Linked DNA regions of Kluyveromyces lactis. The protein of the gene in region 1 purifies or fractionates together with the protein of each later gene. This does not show direct contact. Links are inferred from orthologs where the notes say so. Each region holds a gene or a part of one and is shown on either strand. Other genes may lie near its edges.

Region 1 (10,195 bases):
GTCCGCTTACTATTCTAGCGAAAAACATGAAAGTGTAACACTAACTTCCCAATATACATTAACTCTCTTATCCATATTTGTAGCGTTAATGTTACATTGGGTGGAGTACCACAGATCAAGGATTTCTAACGGGGTAGTTCTCTTCTATTGGTTGTTCGAAAGTTTATTTCAAGGATCCAAATGGATTAACTTCAGTATCAGACATGCTTACGGTGATGAACATGAATTGCCCGTGTCATATTCCGTGTACATTTTAACTGTGTTCCAGACCATCTCTGCTGTGATGATTTTACTATTGGAATCATTATTCGAAAAGCCATTGCCTTCTTATCAGAGAGTCATAGAATCCTATTCTAAGCAAAAACGTAATCCAGTGGACTCAGCCCATATATTCCAAAGATTAAGTTTCAGTTGGATGACAGAATTGATGAAAACAGGTTACAAGAAATATTTGACTGAGAAGGATTTATACAAGTTGCCAAAAAGTTTCGGCTCAAAAGAAATCTCCGAGAAATTCGGCGAGCGCTGGCAGTATCAATTGAAACACAAGGCCAATCCATCTTTATCTTGGGCGATGTTAACTACGTTTGGTGGTAAATTACTCTTAGGTGGTACTTTCAAAGTTGCTTATGATATTTTACAATTCACCCAACCTCAATTGTTAAGAATTTTGATCAAGTTCGTTTCAGATTATACTTCCACACCTGAGCCAGAACTTCCTTTAGTCAAAGGTGTCATGTTATCTTTGGCTATGTTCTTTGTAAGTGTAGTTCAAACGTCCATTTTGCATCAATACTTCTTGAACGCTTTCGATACGGGGATGAATATCAAGAGTGGTTTGACATCTGTAATCTATCAAAAGGCCCTTGTTCTATCAAATGAAGCATCGGCTTCTTCATCTACCGGTGATATTGTTAATTTAATGAGTGTTGATGTTCAAAGATTACAGGATTTAACTCAATGGGGCCAAATTATTTGGTCCGGCCCATTCCAAATTGTGTTGTGTTTGGTTTCTCTATACAAGCTTTTAGGTCCATGCATGTGGGTTGGTGTTATCATTATGATTGTCATGATCCCTATAAATTCTGTTATTGTGAGGATACAAAAAAAATTGCAGAAAATTCAAATGAAGAACAAAGATGAAAGAACTAGAGTCACTTCCGAAATCTTGAACAATATTAAGTCCTTGAAAGTTTACGGGTGGGAAATCCCATACAAGGCCAAATTGGATCATGTCAGGAACGAGAAAGAATTGAAGAACTTGAAGAAAATGGGATGTACATTAGCATTGGCTAATTTCCAGTTCAATATCGTGCCTTTCCTTGTGTCATGTTCTACCTTTGCTGTTTTCGTATACACGGAGGAAAGACCATTATCCACTGATCTAGTCTTCCCTGCATTAACTCTTTTCAATTTATTGTCATTCCCTCTTGCTGTTGTTCCTAATGCAATCTCTTCATTTATTGAAGCATCTGTGTCCATAAATAGACTCTTTGCATTTTTGACTAACGAAGAGTTGCAAAATGATGCCGTTTTACGTGAACCAAAAGTAAAGAATATTGGTGACGAAGGTGTTAAAGTCAACGATGCAACTTTCTTATGGCAACGCAAACCTGAATATAAAGTTGCCTTGAAAAACATAAATTTTGTTGCCAAGAAAGGTGAACTAACATGTATCGTGGGGAAAGTGGGTAGTGGTAAGAGTGCACTTATTCAAAGTCTACTAGGAGATTTGATTAGAGTGAAGGGTTTCGCAACTGTTCACGGTGACGTCGCCAACGTTTCACAGGTTCCATGGATTATGAATGGTACTGTTAAAGATAATATCTTGTTTGGTCACAAGTATGATCCAGAATTTTACCAGCTGACTATAAAAGCGTGTGCTTTGAGTATTGATCTCTCTATGTTGCCAGATGGTGACCAGACTTTAGTTGGTGAAAAAGGTATTTCTTTATCTGGTGGCCAAAAAGCAAGACTATCGTTAGCCCGTGCCGTTTATTCTCGTGCTGATACTTACTTATTGGACGATCCTCTCGCTGCTGTAGATGAGCATGTCGCTAAACATTTGATTGAACACGTTTTGGGTCCACACGGTTTGTTGCATTCCAAAACAAAGGTGTTAGCAACAAATAAAATTACTGTTCTCTCCATTGCGGACTCCATTACTCTCATGGAAAACGGCGAAATCATTCAGCAGGGAAGTTATGATCAAGTTAATGAGTCAACAAACTCTCCACTATCGAAGCTTATTGCCGAGTTTGGGAAGAAGGGTAAACCAACTCCTTCCCAATCTACTACTTCCTTGGCAAAATTAGCGTCGGAAGGAATTGAATCTTATTCAGACTCAAAGATCTCTGAAATTACCGTAGATATAAATCAGTTGGACACCGAAAACTTATCTGAAGCTGAAGACCTAAAATCTCTAAGAAGAGCTTCTTTGGCAACCTTAGGCTCAATTGGTTTTGATGACAATGAAAATAGCGCCAGAAGAGAACACAGGGAACAAGGTAAAGTCAAATGGGATATTTATATGGAGTACGCCCGTGCGTGTAACCCCCGCAACGTGTGTGTGTTTTTGGGTTTCCTAATCCTCTCGATGCTGTTGGCCGTCATTGGTAATTTCTGGCTCAAACACTGGTCAGAAGTCAATACTGAGAAAGGCTATAACCCCCATGCCACAAGATATTTGATGATTTACTTAGCTTTAGGTGTTGGTTCCGCTCTGGCAACATTAATACAGACTATTGTTCTATGGGTATTCTGTACTATCCATGGCTCCAAGTATTTACATGATGCAATGGCTTCAAGTGTTTTAAAGGCACCTATGTCTTTCTTTGAAACAACTCCTATTGGAAGAATTCTAAACAGGTTTTCGAATGATATTTATAAGGTAGATGAAATTTTGGGTAGAACGTTTGCTCAATTCTTTGCAAATGTTGTTAAGGTCTCTTTCACCATCGTTGTTATTTGCATGGCAACTTGGCAATTTATCTTTATTGTGTTACCATTGAGTGTATTGTACATCTATTATCAACAGTACTACTTGAGAACCTCAAGAGAATTGCGTCGGTTGGATTCTGTTACTAGGTCACCCATTTATGCGCACTTCCAAGAGACCTTAGGGGGGTTGACTACCATCCGTGGGTATTCTCAACAGAACCGCTTTGTACATATCAACCAAACCAGAGTTGACAATAATATGAGCGCATTCTATCCTAGTGTCAATGCTAACCGTTGGTTGGCATTTAGACTTGAATTTATCGGATCCGTGATCATATTGGCTGCATCTATGTTGGCTGTTATTAGACTTGGTAATGGAACTCTAACTGCTGGTATGATTGGTCTATCATTGAGTTTTGCTTTGCAAATCACTCAATCGTTGAATTGGATTGTCAGAATGACTGTGGAAGTAGAAACTAATATTGTTAGTGTTGAAAGAATCAAAGAGTATGCAGAATTGAAGAGCGAAGCACCATATATTATTAAAGACCATAGGCCACCAGCATCATGGCCAGAATCAGGTGAAATAAAGTTTGTGAACTACAGTACCCGTTACAGACCAGAACTAGAATTGATTTTGAAGGACATTGATTTACATATTCACCCAAAGGAGAAAATTGGTATTGTTGGTAGAACAGGTGCTGGAAAGTCATCTTTGACACTTGCCCTTTTCAGAATTATCGAGGCAGCTTCTGGTCATATTGTGATCGATGGTATCCCAATTGATTCTATAGGTTTGGCTGATTTGAGACATGGATTGTCGATTATCCCGCAGGATTCTCAAATCTTTGAAGGCACAGTGAGAGAAAACATCGATCCTACTAATCGGTATACCGATGAAGAAATTTGGAATGCATTGGCTTTATCACACTTGAAGGATCACATACTGGGTATGGGATCTAATGGTTTGGAGACCATGCTTACTGAAGGTGGTAGTAATTTAAGTGTAGGCCAAAGGCAATTGATGTGCTTGGCTCGTGCCTTGTTGATTTCAAGTAATATCTTGATTTTGGATGAAGCAACTGCAGCTGTTGATGTTGAAACGGATCAATTGATCCAAAAGACGATTAGAAACGCATTTAAGGAAAGAACAATCTTAACAATTGCTCACAGGATTAACACAATTATGGACAGTGATAGAATTATAGTGTTGGATAAAGGTAGAGTAACAGAGTTCGACACTCCTCAGAATTTGTTACAGAAGAAGGATTCTATTTTCTATTCGTTATGTCTTGAAGCCGGCTTAACGGAGTGAAACCCCCTCAAGTTGTATTATCATAACAGAGATTTTGTTTATTTAAGTACTTTTGTAATAATTTTGTTAAGCAATTGTTTCCTAGTTGAGATGCCCTATCAGAATTATAAATAATATTCGGTTTATCGTAAGAAACGTGTAAATAGTTACATTTCTGCTGTGATTAAAAGATGCTTTATATAATACGAAATAAAAACAAAAAAAGAATATACTTCTGTCAAGCAGATTTCATTACATTGAACTTATTTGAATTTGGAGACGTATTGGTCTGCTTGATTAGCAAAATTCGTCAATGTTTCGTTTGCTGGATCAGGGCCAATAGAGAAAGAAGGGTTAGAATTGGAATTAGAGTTAGCGCCACTTTCAAGTTGTTGTGGGGTCACTTGAGCCTGGGGAGGAGTAGAGGCGATTGTCTGTTGAGTTTGCTCTTCAGTTTGGTGTTGTTGCTGCTGCTGTTGCTTAGAGGCAGCCTCCGCGGCGGCGACAGTGGCAGCGGCTACTTGGTCGTCGAAAGTAGCATTTGTATTGATTTGTGGGTCACCGATTTGATGGAAATCCAAGATCTCGGAATACATCATTACACGCCAGGTGTCAACAGGTAAGTCAGCATCGTTGAAATTCCAATCAAACTTAGCTTCTGCGATAGGTTCGTCGGTTGGGTCATGATATGGGGAAAGGTAAGGATGGGCCAAGGCATCAGCTGCTGTAATTCTCTTCTTTGGATCGAACACAAGCATTTTTTCTAGAAGATCTATAGCATCTGGTTCCAAGTTCTGGAACCTCGAACTGAATGGTACAGGATCTCTATGAGGTAATGAAGTAACAAATTTGAGAGTGTTCTCTGAGCAAATAGTGTCTATGACATCTTTTGGAGGCGATCCTAATAGATCAGTGATGATAGAAAATTGATGCACGTGATCTTTACCTGGGAACAAAGGCTTACCCTCGATCATTTCGGCAAAGATACAACCAGCAGACCAGATGTCTACTTCAACATTATATTTTTGCCAGGTCAACATGATTTCTGGGGCTCTATAGTAACGGGTTGACACGTAACCAGTCATTTGAGGATCTTGAATCCTAGCAAGTCCGAAATCGCAGATCTTTAAATCACAGTTCTCATTGATCAAGATATTGGAAGGTTTCAAATCTCTATGGATCACACCTGCGGAATGAACGTATTTAAGCCCCCTCAAGATCTGGTATAAGAAATATTGAACGAATTGTTTTTCCAAAGGCCTTGTCTGCAACAATCTATGTAGATCCGTCCCTTGCAATTCAGTGACGAAATAAATATCTTCTAATGGTGACAAGAAGATATCTTCGAGACAAATCAAATTCTCATGCCTTAGATGCTTTAACAATTTGAGTTCCCTATACGTTCTTTTTGCCAGTACGGAAGTAGAAAACGGTTTCATAATCTTCTTAATCGCTACAGGCTGGCTTGTTAGCGTATCTGTAGCAGAACAAACCAACCCGAAGGCACCCATACCAACCGGGTTCAAATTAGTATACCGATTGGTAATTTCGAAAACTGTACCAAAAATTTGAGTCCTAATAAATTCCTCATTCGACATTTTATTTCAATTGGAAAAACGTGTCCAGCTTCGATATCCTCGAGTTTTTGGTTCAACGAAGGATACGTATATGAATCTAATTCTTTGGGAGATCGCTCGAACTGGCAGATAACTTAAGCAACGTTATAGCAATTGTTGTCGAAGGGTCTCCTAGTTTTGTTTCTATCAAGTTTTCTTTAATTTTCAATTTTTTAAATTTAACGACTTGAATATGAAATTCAACGGTTCTAATTCACTAAAAAAAAAAGGAAGGGCCTGGCAAAAAACGATGTCCATTCACCGATAATGGAGGGGAAAGTGTCACAGTGGGAATTATATAAAACACTGTTTCGAAGATTTTATCACCGTTTGGTTCTGTGATTAACCCTGAAATACTGCCTGTGTACTTGTTTCCTATTTAAGACGTAACAACAGCTCTGACAGATAGGATCGACGTCGGCTTGATAGATTGGGTTATTATATGTGTATGCATGTATGTATGTAGAGTAAGATTTGCGAACAGGAGGGGCAGTGGCGGATTATGATACATGACATCCGGGTAATACTTCTACTGATATCACGTGATAAACCAAGTAAGAAACCCTTGAGAAGACCACCCAATTATTGCACACCTGTGAATACCGTGACGTTACATATTAATACTGGTGACCATAAACGTTAAAGGTACTTCTTGATCAATAATTATACATTTCCTCATTTAAAGTTTCTTTGTAAGTCGAAATGACAGTTTTTGGACAGACATCAATTTGAATAAAGTATGGTTTGAAACCGCCTACTTACATACAACGTGATCTGATAAGAAAACTTACGAGACAGGGTAATAGATGCATAGAAACGGATTAGTAACTTGATGTTACCCGGGAAATCACACCTCTTGGTTTTCTAGGCATGGAATAGAAAAAATGGACGAACCGTGAGATGATTTGCAGTAGGTAAAACCCACCGGCCGCGCCCTTGACGCTCTGTCGTAGTTTGTAACCTACTATCGGCGTTTCCAGGGTCTATTTACAAATCAAGCCATGACATCCTTCTCTACTGGTGACTGATCTGACTTACACTCAACATGAGTCGAACCCGCGACTCTGGAATACGACGATATACTTGAGATTTGTGATTAGCGCCTTTAAAGCCCTATCATGGAACCCTTGAAACGCGATCGCACAGGGTAAACAAAGCACACCATCTTGCAGAAGCAAGCAGACAAAGGGGAACGAATCTGATTAAAGAGTGAAATGCCCAAAGTCTAGAACCTTTTTACAGGGTACCAAATATAGAAGATTACGCAAAACTATAAAACCAAAACAACGGAAATCAAAACAAAAAGAGTCCGCAGCAACTACGTAATTTTTTCGTGGATTCTATTGCCTTGTAGTATTGCGTAGAAAATTGCTCGTAGAAAATAATCTCCCCCTCAGTTCTACCTGAAAAATTTCGAGTTCATATCGCTCGCTATCTGATATCTTGAATGAGACCATCTTTTATTTTTTCTCATCTGGAGTGGGATTTTTTTAATATCTTGCCTATGTTACTATAGATATGCGTTGCTAGCTATCTTCGATGCGGGCGTGCGTTATTTGCCTATTACTGAACTTTGAGCACTATAAGGGTTATTACGGGCGATCTTGGCCATCCCAAGCTATCCCTTCGAAAGGCCAACTTCTTGGTATATTCTTAAACCAACCAAACCGAGAGTAAAATATTGCCTCCAGCCGACGCCAAATATGGCAAAAATACCAAGCAATAATTGGTGAGTAAGCTGGTATATACTAGAATAGGAAACTGGAAACATAGTCGAGAAAGAGTGTGAAATAAAATTCTCGTTGCTTTGTAAAACGGGAACATAAATTTGCCAAGATTTATTTCCGCTACGTAGAAAACACCGCAATACGGGCATAAGCACACATTCGTGAACCTGAGATTTTCGTAACTGCGGTGTTTCTTGCATTGTCTTTTTCTTTTTTTGCGGTCACCCCCATGTGGCGGGGAGGCAGAGGAGTAGGTAGAGCAACGAATCCTACTATTTATCCAAATTAGTCTAGGAACTCTTTTTCTAGATTTTTTAGATTTGAGGGCAAGCGCTGTTAACGACTCAGAAATGTAAGCACTACGGAGTAGAACGAGAAATCCGCCATAGGTGGAAATCCTAGCAAAATCTTGCTTACCCTAGCTAGCCTCAGGTAAGCTAGCCTTAGCCTGTCAAATTTTTTTCAAAATTTGGTAAGTTTCTACTAGCAAAGCAAACACGGTTCAACAAACCGAAAACTCCACTCATTATACGTGGAAACCGAAACAAAAAAACAAAAACCAAAATACTCGCCAATGAGAAAGTTGCTGCGTTTCTACTTTCGAGGAAGAGGAACTGAGAGGATTGACTACGAAAGGGGCAAAAACGAGTCGTATTCTCCCATTATTGTCTGCTACCACGCGGTCTAGTAGAATAAGCAACCAGTCAACGCTAAGACAGGTAATCAAAATACCAGTCTGCTGGCTACGGGCTAGTTTTTACCTCTTTTAGAACCCACTGTAAAAGTCCGTTGTAAAGCCCGTTCTCACTGTTGGCGTTTTTTTTTTTTTGGTTTAGTTTCTTATTTTTCATTTTTTTCTTTCATGACCAAAAACAAACAAATCTCGCGATTTGTACTGCGGCCACTGGGGCGTGGCCAAAAAAATGACAAATTTAGAAACCTTAGTTTCTGATTTTTCCTGTTATGAGGAGATATGATAAAAAATATTACTGCTTTATTGTTTTTTTTTTATCTACTGAAATAGAGAAACTTACCCAAGGAGGAGGCAAAAAAAAGAGTATATATACAGCAGGTACCATTCAGATTTTAATATATTCTTTTCTCTTCTTCTACACTATTATTATAATAATTTTACTATATTCATTTTTAGCTTAAAACCTCATAGAATATTATTCTTCAGTCACTCGCTTAAATACTTATCAAAAATGCAATTCTCTACTGTCGCCGCTTTCGCCGCCGTTGCCGCCGTTGCCTCCGCTCAAAACATCACCACTGAAACCGCTACCGAATCCCAAACTACTTTGGTTACCATCACTTCTTGTGAAGAAAACAAATGTAGCGAATCCGTTTCTGAAGCTTTGGTCTCTACTGCTACCGTCACCGTCAACGACGTCATCACCGAATACACCACCTGGTGTCCACTACCAACCACTGAAGCTCCAGTTGAAAAGAACACCACTTCTACTGCTGCTCCAGCTCCATCCACTTCTCACACTCAACCAGATTACACTGGTGCAGCTGCTAAGGCTTTGCCAGCTGCTGGTGCTTTGGTCGCCGGTGCTGCCGCTTTGTTGTTGTAAGTTAACTTATTAATGATATCAAATCTATAAAACAAAAAATTCAGGAATAAAATCTTAGGAAAACATCTTTTCTGAGTTCTTCTTTTGTTCAAATGCTTTTACAATAGGTTTTCTTTCATTACATGAGTGATGCAAATGCAAAGACCATATTAGTTTTTAGTTGATTCAAAGGAAAAACACGGAAAGTGCACCTTTGATTTTTTTACCTTTAGTTTTTATTTTTTTTCTCATCTTTAATAATACTTATTCTAATTTACATTTAAACAACAAGCACATATCTACAATGCTAAATGCTAACTCGGTTAAATTATCCCCCTTTTTCCTTCAAATCAATTTTACAATCGGAATATCAGAAAATAATTTGTTTTTGTTTTATTCTTTTTGCCCTAATAATTTTTTAAGGTAAACAATTGAAACGAAAATGAAATAGTTGAAAAATTAGGGCAATTTTAAGCCGATTCAGTTTTCGCATTGTTTTCTATTGGGTTTTGGAAATACAACCTTTTGGTAAGTTTTTTTTTTTGAGTTTCCAAACCACACGTGTAAACATGTTTTTTGTTGGTGGGCTAACACACGAGAGAGATTGAATTCCTTCGATCGTCACGTTACCATTACAACTTTCAACTACAGACTCGAGGGTTTTCCCAACGAAACTCGTTATTTTTTTTTCCTTTTCCTTTTTATTTTTATTTCTACTTTTTCCGTTTTTGAATGGATCTAGTTTCACGATCAGGAGGGATTAAAGAGATATTATAAACTGTTGAGACTTTGAATGATTTCTATTTCAACAAAGCGTTTTGCTTTCTATGCTACAGATTAGACAATTGGTTTTGTTGAAATTTCTGTTGTTCAAATGTATTTCTCATCATTGCACATTTATGTTTCCATATGTATGTACATTTATATATTGATCTATCCTTCTAAATTGTTGACTGAAATAAAAAAATGCCGTTTCCGTTTTGAACCTCCCTACTCAAAGTGAAGCTAAGGGTTAAAGGTAGAAGGAAGTAATGTACGTTAATATTGACTACTTAATAG
Region 2 (11,074 bases), on another chromosome or scaffold:
AAGTGCAAAGGCAGGCAGAACAACAGATTAAATCTTGGGAGATATTGCCAGGTTTCCATTACTTGTTACAATCGATTTATATGGATCTGTCAGTATCCTTGCAAGTAAGATGGTTGGCCATTATTCAGTTCAAAAACGGATTAGACAAGTATTGGAGATCAACAAGAATAAATGCTATTACTAAGGATGAGAAACAGCAAATCCGTAATAGATTATTCGGTATGATAGATGAACCAAATGATAAATTAGCCATACAAAATGCACAGGCTACTGCTAGAGTAGCGCGAATCGATTTCCCTGTCGAATGGCCGCATCTATTTGAACAGGTAGAGTTACTTCTAAATGACGAATCTGTATGGAAGGATGATGTTAAAGTCTACAACATTTTGATTCACTTAAACCAAATAATAAAGACACTAGGTGTTGCCAGAATTGGGAGATGTCGACCTGCTATGCAATCAAAAATACCATTACTTTTTCCACTTTTAACCAGGATCTATATGCATTACTTCAACAAGTGGACAAATTCTGCCTCTCTAGAGAGTGATGATATATCTAAGTTGCAAATATCGTATCTGGCCCTAAAGGTCTTAAGAAGAGTTGCAGTTGATGGATATGAATCCCCACAAAAAGACAAGTCTGTGGTCGAATTCATTTCCCTGTCTGAACAGCATTTCCAATTATTATTGAAGAATTATGACAATTTTAAGACAGTTGATATGTATGAAAAGTTTATCAAATGTTACTGCAAATTGTATTTCAATCTTATTTCTGCATCTACGGCAAACTTTGTAATGATGCCATCATCAAAGACTATTCTCATAACATTCACTACTTTGATAATCGAAAGAGCATCTGATGTTTATAATGAAAACACAGAGTCCCAAACAGGATTCTGGGAAACGATTGCAATCAGAGGGTTTTCAATATTGAAGAAAGTTATTAATTTTATCACCAAAAAGGGTGCTGTAACCATCAAAGTTAGAAGTGATAAATCTGAAGTGGATGCTGCTATTCATAAATTAACCACCGAATTCCTCTCCGAAGATCTTGTAAAGAAATTAATAGACTTATTGATTGATTGGTATTTGAGATTACGGCCAGCAGACTTGGAAGCATGGTCTCTGGATCCTGAGGAATGGGTAAATGAACAAATGAGTTCTAGTTACGAATATCAAATCAGGCCTTGTGCTGAAAATTTTTTCCAAGACCTAATCGACTCCTTTCAGAATCTTTTAACACCTTATCTTTTAAATAAGATTGACTCAGAGGCCGCTCAATTATCTGACTCGATCGATGATTTTTTGAAGAAGGATGCCTTGTTTTGTGCTTTTCAACTCAGCTCGCATGCAATCACTGATATGGTGGATTTCAACAGGCTTTTGGAAACGGTTTTCTTGCCAGAAGCATCAAAATCCAATTCTTCGCCCGATCAACTGAGAATTATCAGAAGGAGAGTTGCTTTGATTATTGATGCCTGGGTCACTAAATCTTCGGATCATTCTAAGCAACAGTGTTACCAATTTTTCTTACATATGTTCAAAACAGAATCGGACAAAGTCGTACAATTATCAATTGTACAAGCGTTTAGAACAATGATTGATGACTGGGATTTCAATAAATCCATATTCGAGCCATATTTGGAAAGCTTCGTTGTAATCTTTTTACAGCAGCTTTTACCTGATGTTTCCTTAACAGAGACTAGATTATACGTATTAAACACACTTACAGATTTGATTATCCAAACAAAACCGCTTGTGAATAAACAGTTCCTAATGCAGATACTTGAGATTGTCCCTGAGTTTTGGCAGCTTGCTTGTAATGAACCAACTGAATCAATACTCGCAAATGTTCTACTTCGCTTGCTGAGGTATTTATCGATTTCTTTAGGGAAATATTCTTACGCAACCTGGGACATTTCATTAACCATAATCGAGGCTGCCTGCAACCCAAACTCACCACATACTTCACTACTTCTAGAGGATGGTTTAGAACTATGGCACTCACTTCTACAGAATTACGATCCTACGGAGAAATCACTTGATGGGAGATTTTTGAACGCTAGCCCATTCCTACTTCATTGCGTGGAGAACCAGACAGAATTGTTGCCTATTTCTTTGGAGATCTTAAAAAGTTACGCCATTTTGTTGCCCGCGCAGGAATTTTATTCCTATCCTGCTTTTACTGAAATCTTAAAACATGCTGCAAGCTACTTGTTACTTTTACGTGACGACTCGTATACCATACTTTTGGAAATATGGGATGTTTTGGCACTTTCAGATGAAGGAGAAAATGAGATGTCATTACTATTCTACTTTTCAAACAATTCCGTTTTCAAGAGTATTTTCAATGCAATTTTCTTACAAGAGCAATTATCTGCATATCAAGCGAGTCAATTGTTCCAGATATTGGCACGTATATCATTCAATGGCCCACAGAATATCATAAATTTATTGTCTGATTATTTAAAAAGTATTGACGGACCTCTGGAAAATTCTAGACTCCCTGCAAGTCAGCGTAAGTTAGTGACAAATGAGACTTCTTTAGATGACGTGCTCAAAACGTTTTTCGAAATATGGTGCAAGTGTTACGGTTCTGTTTATGATCCAAAACTGAAAAAAATTCACTTACTTGGCATCTCCTCACTTTTGAAAACTGGTGCGACCCCTTATTTGCTTGAGTTTAAAGTGATTCTCTCGATATGGGTTGAATCGTTAGAAGAAATCAACGAAAGTTTTTCAGGCGACTGTGAAAAGTACCACTTATCAGACCCAGATTCTTCTTCTGATACAAATTGTGAACAAGCTAGACTTCACGAATTAATCAAAAAAAATGATCCAGCTCATAATGTTAGTATTAAAGGATTTATTTCAGATACGTTGTCTTATTTGAAAAGTCAAATGGATGATACTTCGTTCCAGAAACTCATTTTGTCTGCGGATCCTGTGCTTATGGAAAACCTGCAGCTGTTCATGTCGATTAAACCTCATCAATAAAGCATTAATTATAATTAAATCGCATTAAGTAGGCATTTTGAATGAAATGCTGCTAGCATAACGTTGTATATTTACGTAGATATAATTATATGTGCTCCTTCAAATAGAAAAATTCCAACATGCTCTCGTAGCACGTTAAATATTGAGTTAAATTTTGCACCATGGAGATCCGCTGTTTGCGAAGCTCATTAACAACAATGAAAATCAAGTCCGCTGACATGTTCCATACATCGATTTTGTTTGATTGATTAGAACGTGAGTCCAATACACCTAGCAAGAAGTCTAAGGTAATGAAGACACCTGTTCTTCCACAACCCGCAGAACAATGAACCAAAACTGGAGATCCAGAATTGTTTTTGTTCACGGACAATAACCCTAATTTGCGATAAGTGTGCAAAAAATCTTCGGTTTTATTGTTAAGAGCATTGAAAAGCGAAGCTGGATCATTCAAGAGAAGATTTTTGATATGATAAATATGAATGAAGTCTCTCATGTTGATTCCACAGGAGTCTAACCATTTTGTGTATTGAAGTTGGTACACGGTATGGGGGCGAGACTCATTCTTGACAGGAAGTTGGTCGAATTTTGTTCTTTTATTTGGTGATTGAATTCTGGAATCTGATTTCGATACATTCATGACACGTAAAATGCAACCTGGAATATCAAAAACATCTTCATAGGTATTTGTTACCTTGACTTCATGTTTGCGGATGGATTTTGAGTTCCAGTAGATATCCCATTTCTTCATGTCCAACTCATCATAAGAATTAAGGGATATAATAACTTTTAGATTTTTAGAAAGAACAACGTTCCAAAAATCATCGATGGTAGATGGTAGAGGGGCTTGTGTTGCAATGTAGTTGAAATCAGGGTTAATTTGTGGTAATCTTAAATAGTTAGCATTGAAGTAATCGTTGAAAGGTTCCGTATCATAATCTGTTTCAGAAGTTGCAGTTGTTTCACTCCGATTGGCGGGATGTGAATATAATCTAGTAGGTGAACTATCCTGTGAGAAGTAGCCAGCATTTTCGTCAACAGTTTGTAATTCTAACTCCCGTCTTCTGTTCCCGCCGGGGGTGAGGTTGTCATATTTACCAGATTTTGGCGCCGATAGTAAAGATAGCTGATCTGAAGTCAAAGTCAATTGTTCTGCAAGAGGAGAGGGTTGTAACCTCACCCTTGAATGCTCATAAGGTAGAATGTTGGAGTATCTGTTCTTGGTGAACGATTGAATCCCTTTAGTCATTTGATAATTGCCCAGCGGAGTCTCAACCACTTCTTCATCTGAATTTGCCATTTTTTCGTTAAAATTACTAGCGTTAATGTCACTGGCATCAGGGTATTGAGAGCTCCTCGACACAACAGTGATACCAGAGTCCGCATCGTTCTTCAAAACGGGAAGCAGTCCTGGTGAAACGGTATTCAATTTTCCTATTAAATTGTGCTTGTTCGAATCGTTGAGTTCTTCCTTAATATCCCTCCGTAACTTCTCATCCACAGAACCGTTCGAATGTTTCATGACTAGAGTATCGTCATCTGATTCATCCAAATTTCCGTTAGGTTTATATTCTTTTTGAAGACTCCGCAACGAGTACTCTTTTCCAAGTTCAGTATGTGGTGATTGCTTTTCTGGCAACCTTATGCTAGATGTATCATTATTATTATTATTATTATTATCATTGTTATTGTTACTGTTGTTGGTGTTGTCGCTGCTATTATTATTACTGTTTTGAGCGGAGTTGACATTAGAAGAAGGATTTGTGGCCATCAAACACTTCTCTAATCTTCTAACTTCTAATGCTTCCAAAGTCTCGAAGTCTTCAAATATACGTTCCACTACGGAGTCGTTCTTCGTGTTGTACGGTGACAACCATCTCGGTACATGAGAGGGCAGTACTTCAGGGGTATGAAAGACGAAGTATTTTTTAATCGAGTTCGGAGAATAATGAATACTATCTCTTTTCAAAGATTGTATGAACATCCTAGTTGATGAAGCTGAAGAAATCAAATTTGGAGAAATTTGGCTTTCGTCAACTTGTGGTATATGCAATTTCAAATTAGGATGTTTACTGTTGCCATTATTGTCCTTCCCATCCTCCGGATGACTGATTTTGAACGATGGTAACGGTACCGCCACATTTGGAGGGAACCGTTGCTTATTGAAGGACGATGGTCCACCTTCGATTAAGCTGATCGTATACGAGGGGTTTTGCTCATTGAGGAATGGTATCAATTTCATAATCACAGAGCAAGTCTGCTGATTACAACGATGAAGCGTTGAATGCTCATCGTAAATGACAATATGATCAGAACTAAGAAGCCTATCTTTCAAGAGCGCCTGAGTTTCTATATGCAATGTGGAAATCAACTGATGGAAGGTGGTTCTAGGCCTTCTAAGCAACGTACTGGGGAACGAAACATGAAGGGTATGAAAATCTTTCAAAGGGTATCCATGACTAGTTAAATCAAGCAAAAACGTAGAATCGTCCGGTTTCAAGTCTGTAATTGCCACTGTGTTCAAACACGAGTCCCTCACTTGAGGTTGTTCCATCAAGTCCGCGTATATCGAATTGGGTCGCTGCCACCGCAAACCTTTGACCCCATTAATATTAAGACAGTGACTGTTAACCGTTTCCAAACACAGTCCTGTTATGCCATTAGTGTTAAAACCACCGCTGGTACCGTGCTGCCCACCATTACTGCCGTTCACATTAGACATGGCAGGTGATGCAATCTTTGGTGAGCTGGTTGCAGTGCTCCCGCTCGGCGACATATTCATACTCATTTGCATTCTCATGATGAATGTAGTACGAAAAAGATCAAAATTAGGACTAAATCAAATTTAGACTAACGATGGTCTCTGTTCTCCGAATACTTGAACTCTTAATTTCTTCTCTTATCCTTCTAGATAATCTAGACTCTCAAAAAATAGGCGTTCTTGATTCTCTTTATCAATAACCTGATTCTGTATACCCACTACACAACTGTCCTGGGTGTCCTATTGCGGGTCTACCCAAAATATATCTTGTGTAGTTGTTGCTTTGCTCCGTGTGCTGTGTAAACAATATACCTTAAAATTTCAGAAACTGATTTCTGTCTGCTGTATATATTCTGTTTTCTATATAAATGACTAGGAGGACTGGATCTTTTTTTTTTTGTTCCATGTTCCATAATTCGAAGGATGTTCTGAAAGGCAATTAATACTGAGAACTTTAATGAAATCAATGGAATTTCGCTAGCAAGAGCAAGTTAAATTTGGAAGTGTATGTAAGCAAGTAACCGTTTAATCATGAATCCTGGGATCCGATGCTGTGCCCGTTTAAATTCCTGTTTTTGCAGAAACGCTGCATCTGCTGTGTGACTGGGCGATCAAGCGAGGTGCAAGATTTTTGCGTAGGAGTTGTTACTTCTGAATGTAGTAGGTATATAATTAACTCATCGTGCTGTTGCAATGCCAGTTGGGTTATGTACCGTTTGTTCGAGAGGCATTGAATTGGGATCCATCGGCATAGGAATATACGTGTCAATTCCAATGCATGGAAAAGCTTTCTGAAAAAAATCAAAGAAGTCTCATTCTATTCATTGTTCTGACAACGCATTCGCTCTTAAAATAGACAAGTTTGTTATCATAGTGTTCTAGGCGAGAAGAGAAGATGGAGTTACCCTAGCCAATAATAACCACTGTTTTGCTCTCTCATGTCAACAGGTTCCAACAACGGGTTCCCACTAGTCTAAGCTTTTTGCTGAACGAATGTCTTGAGCTCAGTTGTATAATTCAAATACGTCACTGCCAGCTTGTTCAGAAAAATGAAATAATGAGCCTGACATTCGGGGCTATGCTAGGTTCAGATTTGTCTGGTAAGTGGTGTATGGGTTGTGCTGTGATGACGGGACGATATTACCAAATTTAGGTATCCATAAGACGGAAGAAGTTAACTGATCGCGGAGCCGGAAAGAGCCGGAAGACGATGTGCATGTGTTACCCGGATGATCTGCATTTTGTTTTATTTTGTTTTTTTTTTTTTTTTCTTTTTGATGCACGTGATACGACTTCTTTTTCCCCTCTCTTTCTTTGTTGACGGTTTCACGAATTTGTTTGTGTAAACATTGGAGAATATCGATACATTGCGACTTAAGAGCGCGATGTGTGGATCATGTCTAAGAGAAGTATTGTAATTTAAGTGTACAAGCAGAGGATATACCAGAAACGAAAAAAAGTTCCCTAACCTCACGTCTCATCTGCTACCGTCCGTTACTCCCGTAATAATGGATGTTTCACAGTTTTTGAATAATGTGGAAAACGATGATACTTTGCAGAACATTAGGAAGGAGTATCTGAACTCGAAAAGAACATTGCAAGAACTTATGACGAACCAGAGTCCGACCAAAAAAATGGAGTTTTCAAAGAAACCAACACTGCTGCAAGAACGAAACAGCAACGATTACATTAATAGAAATGTCAACAGTAGTAAACCCACCGACGATGAGTTTCTTCGACGCCAATTAAGGGAAGGTCTATCCAGGAAACCGGAGCCAAAGATTAGTTTACCTTCGTTAGCCTCTGATACAAATAGGCTAGATAGTATATACTCTAGCGTTAATAAGATTGATGAACTAGAGAAAAAGTTATACCATCATGAACTACAAATACAAGCTCTCAAAAATGAACTGTACCAATCAAATGCTTCCAACAGAGCCTTGCAAAATAAAGTGGCTGAGTTGCAAGATAGCGTAAGAATGCTAGCGGCACTTAGTCATAGCAATGTTAAAGCGGATACGGATAATTCTCAATTGTCTGCCAACGGAAAGTGGACTAGACATTATGCGGGACCAAACAGTAACGGGAACGGTGTATACCTTGATAGACCCCAAAGTGCTCCTTCCACTTCAAGTACTTCAGAGTGGGTAGCGAACGCTTTGCATGATTCTGATGATACTAGAGTGCTTCTAGGATGGAAACAGCCGTCATCTACTAGAGTTGATAATTCCAGCAACTTTCACTTCCCACACAATCAGCCCAGAAATTTATCCAACTTTGACGACAACACAAGCAGATTAATAGGTGTCACTGGGAAAACCAGAAACTAAGAGGTTCTTATGTATATATTAGATTAGCTTCGGCTGCTTCGTGCCGTTGTATTTTGTTATATTTTATATCATTTTGTTTCCGTATGTCTTATATAGAATTGAACTTAACCCTAGGCTTTTACGAATTTCAATTGGAAATTGTATCCATCATCGTTTGAACCTGCGTACACAGGAGCTTGTTGGTTACCCCTTGGATATTTGGTTGCATACCAATCATAAGCTCCGTTGTATCCAATGTAACCTTTCTTTGCGTCATATTCGAATTGAGCGGCTTGGGCAACGTTTTTGTTACATGCCAACACTTTATTAGAATTATCGATACCACAATATCCCATTCTTGTCTTCAAATAATAGTTTCCAAATGGTGCCTCTATCAAGAAGAAATTAGCTGGGGTTCCCTTTAAATACCAATGTCCATTTTTGATTAGAAACCCTTTACCGTTACCAATTCTTACAACACCCCTGGTACCAGGATGGTTGCCATTTGGAGGTCTATAAGAGGATGGAACATGCCCCTTTGGATACCATTTAATATTATCATCCGGACAATTAGAACCTTTGGGTAGCGCAGAAATAGGTACAAATTTTTCTCCTAATAAGGATCCCTTCAATGAGTGGAAGTACCAAATTTGGTTCAAGGAACCATGTCTGTCACATAAGAAGTGTACTACTTCACCAGAGTGACCTTCTTTTAATGCATTCGATATTTCAAGTTTGGTGTAGCTCTTTTCCACACTCGGTTCAATTCCCGCAGACTTTAATGTCTGATAAGTGTCTTTATCATGGAATAATTTCATGGCGATTCTGAAGTAATCATAAACTGCTTGTTTCTTACTGTTCCCAGCCACTCCCCATTTTTTATAACAATCCGGATATAATGTTCGAATACAAGTTCCGTGCTTATTATATTCGTGTACCCACAAACTTTCATCATCACCTGTGTTACTTTTCCAATACATATCCATAGTTTCTAACAAATCAGTTCCGTTGATCGGAAGATCATCTCTCCCGTTGAACTGATCATCGTTTAGTAAATGCCAAACATCATCAATGTTACTTTCTCTATTGCAAAACTGTGCATAGGTTCCATCACAGTTATCCGGCCATAAACCGTGGTTTGTGAAAGAATCCAACGGCCCTAGATGCCTAACTAATTCATCCGGGTCAGAAACCCCTTTAGGCGGTATGTAATCCCAAAATTGTGTTTGTAACATGATGCCACCAGGGAATTCAAAGCAGCAGGAATCCTTAATCTCAGTGTTGTTTGAGCAACTTGCCGGTAGACTAATCGGACACGAATACTGTTCTTTGTAAAATATATGCTGCAAATCAAAAGCAGTTGTAGTGTAAGCTAACAAACTTGCTAGTAGCCCTTTATTCAATAGCATCCTTAATTTAGTTGATAATCCTTATTGATATTACCTGATGAAGTAGCGTTAACAATTACCCTATCTTTCGGAATCTGCCAAAGTTATACCAAATGCAAGTCAAGTGATTCCACTGTCGTAGTTTTCTTATATACAAGAATTGAAACCGCTCTTATCAGGATTGTTGTGGAACTAGTCATGTTTCAATACCATTTATGGCGTCTTTTTGATATTTGAATATGTTACTACTAGTAACAGTAAACATGTGCAGTAGCTAATCAGCACTGGTCTTCAAAATATAAAAAAAGAGAGAATTGGATTTGAAAAATAAAAAAGAAAATAGCTCGCACTCAGGATCGAACTAAGGACCAACAGATTTGCAATCTGCTGCGCTACCACTGCGCCATACGAGCTGACTTTCAATGGTTTTTGGGGAAGTGCTCTATTTGTTCACGAGTAAACGTTTGGAGGCACGTTAGATACAATCGTCGGATAGCTACCGATACAGCAGGCGGTTAAGTACCGAGATTATAAAGGGAGGCTTACAAGGTGAAACATCCTTAAGTAGTCTGAATTAATATATATTGATGTATTATATCTGGATAATGACCATCAACACAGTCATGCTAGAGCACCAGTTGCATTAATATACACCACCAGATATATAGCCAATGACAGTCATGATTTCATCTGATATCGAAGAGAAAGAATCCATCACATGTAACAGGGATAGTCCGAAACATCGACAGATTAATGTGCCAGTTGTCATCAATCAAAATTAATGTGTGACAAGGACTTTTTCTTTATTTTCTAATCTGTCCAATGAACAAAAGGTGTTGAAATGTCTTCAAAATGATAAATAAACTAATTTATGTACATGTAAATTGGCATAAGTTTGATCATTTATGCCAACTTGGAGTAATATCCCTGACGTATTTAGCGTAGTCTCTCAATCTTTCGACGTTATGGAATGACTCGCTTTCCGGATTCCCATAATAGAACAATTTGAAAATACTCTGCTTCTGATCATCATTACCTAGGTCTAAAGATAAATGAAGCACTCCGGTACTTCTTTGGAAGTACCATTTATTTACTACGTTGTCTTCACGAGATCTCCAAATTAGTTCGTGTGGGAACTTGCGAAACATCAGATTGAAAATGATATCAGATATTCCGAGAGAGCCCTTTAATTTTTGTGCTACCGCAAATTTGTCCAAATATACGAATTGCTTGTCCTTTGGCCCTTCGTATGTCAAAATTGCAATACCTTCATAATCTCCTATTACGATTATGCTCGCTATGTTACCATTGATCCTGCCGAGATAATGTGATAGGTCCAATGACCTTTTAAAACTTGAATTGATTATCCCATTCAGTTTATTCAAATCGAGTTTTTTCGATACTGGGTCAGATTTGCCAGTTTGAGTAGCTTGCGATGGTGGTAGACCTATGGAATTATCATCGGTCAAAGTCCTGAAGTCAAATATATGGATATCAATCCCCTTCTTGAAAACTGTAGTCACAAGAACTGAATCGTTTGCGGAAGTGACTTCCTCTTCCACGTTGGAAGATGGAAGCTCATACCAGCTTTTCGATTGAGCCGCAGCCGATCTTTTGAATCGA
Region 3 (9,848 bases), on another chromosome or scaffold:
TTATTACGCTTTTCAGGGTCTGTTGGTGAAGTCTCCAAATTCAATGTAAAATAGAATAATAGACAATCATAAATGAAGAGAAATTGGTTGATATTTTGAACCATAGAAATACGCTGTCTTCTGAACTGGTTTACGGTTGTCACGATTGGATCAAACATGAGACTTGTTGGTGGTTTCGTAGCAGAAAAAGAATTAGATTTTGTAGTTGGAGAAAGATTAGGAGTTAACGGTACGGCGAAGGCGCCATACAAAGAAGGATTCTCATCGGTATCAAACTTCTTTAGGTTTGATAATATGGAATCAACAGTGCACAAAGTACCTGTTCGACCACATCCAGCAGAACAATGAACGAGCACAGTCGGTGTGTAATTAGGAGAGTACACGTTATGTGCGAACAGACTATCAATGACAAAATTCTTCAAATTGATTATTTGCAGAATTTCGTTTGGTTTGAGCAATGTCCCTAAGTCTGGCCAGTCTTTTATCTGTAATTGCAATAGTTGGAACTTACTTCTATCATTATTATAGCTCAGTTCAATTCTTCGAATGATGATCTCATTGTTATTGTCTGAAGTTTTGTTTAATTTAAGATGTCTCCAAAACTTAGATGCAAACATATCTTCCTCATGGTTAGATTCTGCCTTCATTGGTTTATCTTGTAACATAGTACTAAATTCATCCAGAAGTTTGACGTTTATACCATCATAGTTACCGTTTGCCCAAAAGTTGCAACACTTCTCAACTCCATTTTCAAACTCATCAGTTAGCGTTAGAATTATGGGCACATTGTTGTTCAGAATGCAGGTGTAGAAGTCCGAAATTGTCTCTTTCAAAGGAGCTTGGGTGGCAATATAACGTACAGACTTGATGTCAGCGGTAGAGCTTTGCTGAAGTTGGGCAAAAGGATTAACCAAATAGTTAGCATTAATATAGGTATTCCAAACATCCTCTTGTTCATCTTGAGTTGGCAAGCCACTAGCACAGGAACTATATGCGGAAGATCTCGGGGAAGGGGTTGAATTCTCACAGCCAGCACTGCATATACTAGAATGCGAGAGCTTTACTCTTGTGTGCTCATAAGGAAATATATCCTTATATCTATTCTTCGTCCCAAATTCTACCCCAGATGATATTGTGATGCTTTGTAAGTTCTCTTCAGCATCATCCTCATCAACATCATAATGACCATCTTCGACACATCTGTCGTTACCAGCTACAGTAGACCGAGATTGAGTGCTGACAATTGAAGCGGACGATGAGGGGCCCAATAATCTCTGAAGTCTTTTTCTTTCTAATAACTCCAATCTTTGGAACTTAGATATAAAGTGCAGTTTTGGAATGTCCATTAATTGGCAGAACCAGGAAGGAACTACCTGATTGATCTCCTCTGAAGCAAATCTGTGGTATAGGTTATCATATTTAACTTGGAAATTTAGTTTAGATGAATTGTGGCCACTAGAAGGATCTGCTGGCGATAATGCTGTTTGAGTTGAAGTAAATGATGACGAAGTCGCATCGGTACTGAACTGTTTGGACGGTGAAGCAGGAAATTTGAAGGATCTTAGGTCATTTTCTGATTCTAAGAAAGAATTTCTTTGAGAGCGTTCATTGATCTCTACGGCCTTCACATAATTATCTAGATCGGAAATGTCATGCTCAATCTGCGGTAACTTAAAAGTTGGTAAATGTTGATTATTTATCGGTGCCGGCAGTTTAAATCCAAACAAAGATGATAATGGTGATGATGTGGATATTGGGGAACCAGATAGAGTCCTACTGTTACCGGTTTGTGGTGGCTGTTTCAAAGGAGAACAAGAATGCGAATGAGATCTACCAGAGTGTTTCAACTGCGGTTGAACTGGAGAAATATTGTCTGCCTGATGAGGGGAAGATGGGGAATCTAAGGTATAAGAGTCTTCCAAATCCATGGTACCAACTTCGACGTCATCAGGATATGCTGCATTAAATGATTCAAAACCTTCTGCGAGAATGAAAACAGAAGGCTTTTGTTTGTCACTTACATGATCGAGGATCTTAGAAGATATTCCGAAACATGCCAATGATACTGCATAATCTGTCTGGTTTGCCACATTATCGTAAATAACCACCTTGGCATTTGCAGTGGCGCTGTCACTGCCCAATAAATATTCCGATAAAGTTTCCCTTCCTGGGGAAGGTAGATTACCTATCAACCTTTCCAGATTGAAGTTTTTCCTTTTCAGTAAAGTCGAGGGAAGACACAAGTGCATTGCCGATCTGATGTGATTTTTGTTGAACTCTATGAACGGCCTTGTATCGAATATTATCAGTTTTTCATTGGGATTCTGGTCCATATTTTCAATATAATGGTGCAAGTCCGCAGGGCTAATAAACGAGCAGTCTTTATGTTTAGGAAATCGGAGATCTTTTGGACATATTGTTGGAATAGCGGGCAAGCTATTGGACTTCATTGCTATGCTCCGCGATCTACTCCGTGAAAACGAAAGGGAACTTCTATGAGATGCTGACAACGGTGAAGGTGTACATGTACTATACGAAGGTTCAGATGCTGAAGGGAAAGTCGACGCATGTATCAGAATCTTTTCGGGCAGTACCTCCGTTGAATTTCTTTTGTAATTTGCGCTCAGGGCAGGAGATGCTAACGATGAATTCGACGATTTATCATCGATCAAAGTGGATGACGAACTTAGAACTGATGAACTTTCCGATGTGAATGAGCTGCTCTGAATTGAATCACGATCTTTATACTCTGTACATCCAGATATCGATGGTGGTCTAGCGAGAGGCCTTGAAAACGAAAGAGGTTCTTTGAGTTGGATTTCTTCCTGTTGTTTGTTGGTGCCCATCGTGTCTATATACTCCATTTCTCTTCGAAATTATAAATAGATTAGATTTGACACCCTATTACTAACAAAGTACTTTCTTTCTGTATGCTTAATTTGACAGTTTTGTCTTGGTATAGGTTCTTATTTGGTGTCTTCGTTAAAGCAGTGATTCGAACAAAGTTAAAAGATAGCTGAAGATGTTGGAAGCTGTTCTATTTGGTTCAATAATGCACTAGACCTAGAAATTACGAATTAGAAAACACTTGACCGAAAAGAAAAGAAATTCTAAAAAAGATATTGAGAAGAGGATTGCATAAGGATACACAGATGCATGCATTCGAGAAACATATCCAATGGAAAAAAAAACAACAACAACAACAATTAGCACGCACATCCACGTGATATACGGTCGAATTACATAAATGCATATGTGATATAGTAATGCCCACTTCGTTGGTTGAACCAGACACCTTGCTACTTAATTAGATTACTTTTCATCTGTAGGAAATTACCTGAAAAGACACCTTATGTAGGCAGAAAGGTACTGAAAACAAAGGACTCAGAAAAATATGCGATAAATCTTCTAAACTATTTACACCCTCATGCCGATTGCAATTTTACCAAGCAATACTCATCTCTTGTTGAATAAGAACCGCAAATTGTCAAGACATGTTACAAGGATATCACGGATGAAGAAGCAGTTTCTATGGTTAATTACGACACTCTGTTGCTTTGTGAAATGTATGAACAAAAAAAAAGACACAAATCTAGAAATCAACAGTAGAGCCGAAAGAACGGTATAATAAGGACCGAAAAATATGCTAATAGTCAAAAGATCTAGATCCCCTGGGTACTAGTCTGAGAGTATGTTCTTGGACTTGTACTCTTCAACTTGTGAAAAGTAGTTTAATAGAAGAATTGCAGATGGCTGCATAACACACCACAGCAAAATCCTGGGAATAAATTTCAATCATGAGCATAATCATAGATGGGGCTCTTTTGCGCAGTAAATTACGTCGTTACAATTATTTGCAACTGGCTTTTTTTTCTTTCTTAGAACTGACAATGAATGTTGTCCTCCGTGCTCTTGCAAAAACGAACACGAATTTTCTCGGGAAAACCAAGGCGTTGATCATTGTTCCGGTTCGAGACTACGGTCGAAACGGACATTACCTCTCTGCCCTAAACACACTCTGATCAGTAAACGTTCATTTGTCAAATAGTAATGCGAGAGTTACCATGGGACTAAGGCTCGAAAAATTTCGTACTTTTGATCCAGAATGTTAGCACGGAAAGCAGTGACCAAAACGGTTCGAAAGTTCGCTTCCCTCACAAAAGAAAAGAATTTTCAATAGAAATGGACTCGGGTCTCGAACATCTTTCTGCAAGCTGAAACGAAGAAATTAACGTAGTGAAATAACTCGGAAACTAAAGGCTACCACTACTCACAAAACGAAAAGCGAAAATTACGTACGCCTAGAAGTCAACGCACTGTATCTGTACCAGGGTCCGCCCTTAGAACTGTTCGAGCAATTTGTACCCGGATGGCGTCTTTACCTCTTTTATTGGCTTGTTTACACTTTACTCATTCACGTGACGCTGAACGTGCGGGTAAATATGAAAAGGGCATCCACCTCATTACCCTGATATACTTTCTTTTTGCCACACTCTAGGATCGAGAGCTGAAAGGAAAAAGAATTCTGGAAAGATTATAAGCTCTTATATTGAACTGTGATATTTCAAGCGATGAGCTAGCTTATTTGATCCAAATTTAAGGGTTAAAACAAACCAGTCCTATAGGATAAGCCCCCTCCCCTGATAGAATACTATGTCCCTACGTTTGATTACCCGTGTTGCCTCCCGTGTTGCTGCTCGTCCAGCTTCCATCCAGGTGGCCAGAAATGTGATTGCTCGTCCAACCTTTATCACATCTTCCCGTCAACTCTCCTATACTGCTACCACTTTCAACCAACATACTACGAAGGTTGCTCAAGTTTTAAACAGCGAAGTCGAATTAGAAACTTCTCAACAAATTGTCGACTTGCCAGAAGAATTGGCTACTTTCCTGTCCAAGTACGGTTTTGAGCCTGTCGTTCAAGAAGGCCGTAACTTGGCTCACATTAGAAGACAATTGAACGATGAAACTATCAATGTCTTCTTTGACGTTGCTCAAGTTGCTAACTTGCCTGTCGAACCAGCTGCTTTAGAACAATCTGAAGAACAATTGGAGGAAGATTTCGATAGTATGTCTGATAACTTTGCCAATGTCAACATTGTCGTTGTGAAGAACTCCGACAACACAGCAATTTCATTTGAGCTTTTGATGAACATGCAAGAAGGTTCTTTCTACGTCGATTCCGTTACCCCATACGAATCAGCAGAAGATGCTTTGAATGAATCAGCAGAAGCCGAAATCAAGAGAGAATTGGGATACCACGGTCCTCCATTCTCTAACTTGGATGAATCTTTGCAAGAGTCCTTGGAATCTTACTTGGAATCCAGAGGTATCACCACCGATTTAACTTCATTCATTTCTAATTACTCTGAGTTCAAGGAGAATAATGAATACATTCAATGGTTGTCGAAAATGAAGAAGTTCTTCGAGTAATTGCAACAATAACTCTTTTTCAATATGACTAAAGACAGAAGTATTTGTTCATTCAAAAACAATTCTGCCTCTTGGTGGTTTTACTTCACTACTGATCACTGAGCTTTATGATCCCTCTATCAACATTTCTCTTGTATATACATAATTTTTCTCTTACCTTTTTTATTATGGATTTTTAAGGCAAATTTGTACATTATATATCGCTCTATGTAATATCTGTTATAATGTACCTATCGTCTTTTCCATTGGTACCTTTGATTATTACACCGTTTGCAATAGTTTAATTATTGAAATGCAGAGCCAGCAAAAGACAAGCCTCCAAGTGAGATGCCTTTTTCATTGGTTTAGTATGTACAGGAGGCATCTCAATTATGTTGGTGAAAAGTCATCAATGTTGGTGTCCAATATTGTTTCACAATATTGTCTAAACAATTTTTCGATTTCGGGGCTGTTAGAATCCCTATCATGTTCTAGGTTATCCACAACCTCTAGGATTCTCTTTCTTAATCTTATTAGATGCCTACGAAACAAAAATTTTCTTTTAAGTAAAGAATTTGAATCTTCCGCTTCAGCTTGCACTTCCTTTAGTTCTTCATCGGTTAAATTCAAAGATGATTCCAATGATTTTATAAAACGTACAGCTTCAAGATAAACAAAACGCATACTCTCTCGAGTGCTTCCTCTCTGCTTCAACAACATTACTGGATCACAGAGCATTGTGGTAATGAACTCGTCTATTATCGTTTTCTTGAAAGTCAAAGGTAACGCGTCTTTGCATGACATAACAATTCTCAATAAGAACATCCATGGTTTCCAGGATAAATAGCTCTTGTACTCATCATTTTGAATCGAAGTCTTTGCTTCATTGTCCTTCATAAGTGCAAGACATGATTTTACAAGTTCTGTCGCCTTTACAGGATCACTGTTGTTTAGCTTTTTAGTAGCCTGTCTTTCAAATGCTTTATAAGTTAAAACGACGTGCTGTAAGGGTTCCCGCAACATACCATCATCCATCATCTTACGAAGTAGCTCATAACATCTCTCTCCACAGTTCTCCGGATCTGCTTTGATAATTAAGTTCAACGCAGCGTTTATTGTTCTGTTGTTGAAAAGGTTTGGTCTTTTTCCCAGGTAATGCTCGAAGAAAGCGATACCATATTCGTATTGTCCGGTCTTAAAGCAATTTTCCATTAAAAGATGTGCAACATGGGGAGTCAAACGCATTTTAGATTTGATATTCCAATTCTTCAAAGCAGGCAACTTGACAAATTCTGGTATTTCTTTCTTGAAACGAACATTTGGGACCTTAAAATCATAGAATATATCAAGCAGAGGCAACACACAATTGGAAAATCGTAGATCCCTTCTAGAGTGCCAAACGTTCAAATAATGAAAAAACATTTGTGAATCGATAACTTTGGGGTCAGCAGAGTTCATTATATCATCAGCCCTTTGAATGGCTTCCACTGCATCTGTAATCTTCGCACATCCAATAAGTAGTTGCGTGTACGCAATTGCATCTTTTTTTATACCTTTGGGTCTCAAATCAAAACATTTGAACAGGTAACTAGGGTCGTTAGAGTTCGCCAACGCACTTAATGCAGCGTTAAAATTTATATTATTGAGTCTTTCATCTTCAACCAATTTTAAAACTATCTTCACCACTCGTTCTGCAACTTTGACAGAAATTGGTTCTGGCAACCTTGCCAACCCTTTGAACAAATTTGTTTCAGTGTATTCATTGGGAGGTATTTGCCACTTCTTTCTCCAAGAATATAAATCCACAGCGGAATGGCTATCTTTTTCAACTTCTAGATAATGTGTCATTAATGTGTTCATTCCAGCTGCACCATTTGGTCCAGCAAGCTTTATAAGAAATAAAGCCTTTTGCAACTGGCCTCTCTTACAAAATTTCGCAACATCGCGTTCCACCAATATTGAATTTTTTAGTTGAGGTCTAGATATACCTAGTATAGTATACATTAATCTTTTATCGTTAGCGACAGAAAGAATGCTCGTATCATCGTCCGAAGTTGGTCCTACTTTGATAGACTTATCAAGATTAGTAATTTTGTGTCTCCCTTTTAAGATTTCATTCGCTTTCTTAATGGAATATCCGTACTTCCGAGCTTTGCGTGCTTCCCTTCGAGCGATATCCCTCTGCTTTCCATTTTCCTTCTCTGTTCGCTTCACAAGTGTCTGTGTCTTCTGCAGAAGGTCCAACTTAACCTTCAACGGTGAGCCGTAAGGTACCCGCGTAGCATGAAATGCCCTAACAAAGCGCTGCGCACATGGCACATGTATAACTGTTCGACCTATCGACATACAGATTCTGATGCTTGCTGACTGACTATCCTGTCTAAACTGCTCTTGAGGTGTCTGCGATGAGGTTGTACTCAAAGATTCGACCGTGATTAATATTTTTCCTACTACAGAATCATATTGGAAAAATTGACATAATATGCAAAACAGCCATATCTGAACGAGAACAAGAAACAGTGTAAGCTGCATCACACGAGACATAATTAAAAAGACCAACAAGGTGAGTAGTACTAGAATAACATCAAAGCCTCTGAAAAAGAGTTAGCATTGTTTGCGATTGCATTTTTTACATGTTTTGGGGCTGTTTTTGATAGAATATTGCATTATATATGACACAAGGTAGGCTATTTTATCCGTTGGCAGTGCTTCAAGATCGTCATTTCAGATCCAAATATCCAAATTACAATGAAAGTAGAGAGCTCAAAACCTGGAGTGTTGTTTCAAAGCGATTTCCTGCCTGGGAACAAAAACTAGTATCTATGCTACTTGATAATAAATACGCTGAATCCATAATATTTATCAATAGTGATGTTTCTATGAGCTCAGTGGGTGTTTTCAAACGGACCAAACTCCTGATTAGAACTCATATTCTAAATTCTCATTATAAAGCAGTGATTGATTTTGAATCTAGGCTCAATACCCAACCCATTACTTCTGAGCCAACGGAATTAGCGGATTTCATCGAGTGCAAGTTATTATTGATTTTAAATTGGTTCCTAAGGGGGGAATATCATCAGTGTTTACAAAGGTTCATTCAACTAATCATCGACATACCAAACTTGGTGGAGCTAATGGTAACTCTTCCAAAAGATGATATCTTTATATCGAATGAAACAATGTTTTACATCATCACTGTATCTGCATTAGTGTCAATTCCCCTAGATAATTTGGACACATTCATTCATTTAGAAGAACTAGAACAGTTTCATAAACACTTTGATGTTCTTGCTGGCAAGGGCAAACTTATAATTAATAGTAAGTTCATGAAGTTTTTCGACTGGTGGCACAATGATATGGAGCGGCTTTGCAAGCAAGATTATTTCTTAGAAAAAAAGTGGGATATAATATCTAAGACTATGAGACAAAAGATGTACGCATTTTATTTGAGGATAGCAACTAAAATACAAATTAGTTACCTATCCGAAAGAGTCGGAATATCTCGAGAAATTGTCACTCAAGAAATCACACAACTAATCTCGGAAGCCTGTTTGAATTTCCAGATTCATGATGATCTCATTTTATACCAGAAATTTGACCCTCAGATGGCTCTAAACGATTTGATGATGACTGAAGATATCACATTGGATAATAAGCTCTCCCAATTACGTCGTCAAAACCATAATTTGAGAGTAATCGTCGATGAACATTTAGCTTTAAGGAAAAGCAGAATACAGCGGCGAAGCAAGGCGAGTGACGAAGAACCTATGAATGAAGAAGAAGTTTTCGCTCTGAGCGAAAACGAGCTCTGTAATGAGACTGCTGATACTTTCAATGATTAAGAGAGTACGTAGTTTTGTTCTATTTACATGATAAATGCTAGTGAAATTACATAACTTTTAAATATTTTCGAACCGTTAGAAATCAAGAGGACGAGGTATGTCGTGATCTATTTTGGTAGAAACACCATGCTGAACAATGTTTTCGATGTCAATTACTTCTTTAGCTGCTTCAACCGTCAAGTTAGTGTATGAATTCAGGCCAATGGCAATATCATCTTCGATACGAATTCCAATATTCCTGAAATATTCGGGGTATTTTGGATCATTAGGGATGTAGAGACCAGGTTCGATAGTGATCACTTGACCCTCTTGCAAAGGTTGATGCCTGGATATTTCTGGTACGTCGTGCACATCTAAACCCAAATTATGACCTATGTAGTGCGGGTAGATTTCATTGATATCCCAGTTGCTCAAACTACTCAAACCAATGTTTTTCAGTTCTTGCTTGAAGAATTGTAAACTCTTTTCGTGAATCTGATGCAATGAAATAACATTATGGGCAGCACACAATTCAATACATTTCTTTTGAACCGCTAGGACAACTTCGTATAAATCTTTTTGGGCATCTGTAAATTTACCAGATACTGGCCATGT

What was found.
Region 2: the proteins of HOG1 (region 1) and PTP2 purify together in Saccharomyces cerevisiae (affinity purification with western blotting; 4 studies listed by BioGRID). This does not show direct contact. The link is inferred for Kluyveromyces lactis from reciprocal best matches to the Saccharomyces cerevisiae genes HOG1 and PTP2.
Region 3: the proteins of HOG1 (region 1) and PTP3 purify together in Saccharomyces cerevisiae (affinity purification with western blotting; 3 studies listed by BioGRID, with this or other methods). This does not show direct contact. The link is inferred for Kluyveromyces lactis from reciprocal best matches to the Saccharomyces cerevisiae genes HOG1 and PTP3.

The regions. Positions count from the first base shown.
Region 1 is NC_006042.1:1,862,846-1,873,040, reverse strand, and holds HOG1 (mitogen-activated protein kinase HOG1), read right to left. Parts: upstream 5,833-10,195; coding exon 4,498-5,832; downstream 1-4,497. Other genes in the region: ATP-binding cassette glutathione S-conjugate transporter YCF1, read left to right, coding at 1-4,255; CCW12 (Ccw12p), read left to right, coding at 8,783-9,157. UniProt on the Saccharomyces cerevisiae protein: Proline-directed serine/threonine-protein kinase involved in a signal transduction pathway that is activated by changes in the osmolarity of the extracellular environment.
Region 2 is NC_006040.1:560,461-571,534, reverse strand, and holds PTP2 (tyrosine protein phosphatase PTP2), read right to left. Parts: upstream 5,794-11,074; coding exon 3,082-5,793; downstream 1-3,081. Other genes in the region: karyopherin KAP120, read left to right, coding at 1-2,996; SPC29 (Spc29p), read left to right, coding at 7,263-8,084; RNY1 (ribonuclease T2), read right to left, coding at 8,195-9,472; ARG2 (acetyl-CoA:L-glutamate N-acetyltransferase), read right to left, coding at 10,351-11,074. UniProt on the Saccharomyces cerevisiae protein: Major phosphatase responsible with PTP3 for tyrosine dephosphorylation of MAP kinase HOG1 to inactivate its activity. May also be involved in the regulation of MAP kinase FUS3. May be implicated in the ubiquitin-mediated protein degradation.
Region 3 is NC_006039.1:669,731-679,578, reverse strand, and holds the start of PTP3 (tyrosine protein phosphatase PTP3), read right to left. Parts: upstream 2,865-9,848; coding exon 1-2,864. Other genes in the region: MAM33 (Mam33p), read left to right, coding at 4,654-5,433; MRX1 (Mrx1p), read right to left, coding at 5,803-7,956; PCI8 (Pci8p), read left to right, coding at 8,085-9,254; ICP55 (aminopeptidase), read right to left, coding at 9,330-9,848. UniProt on the Saccharomyces cerevisiae protein: Major phosphatase responsible for tyrosine dephosphorylation of MAP kinases FUS3 and HOG1 to inactivate their activity; it also has important roles, along with MSG5, in the inactivation of FUS3 following pheromone stimulation.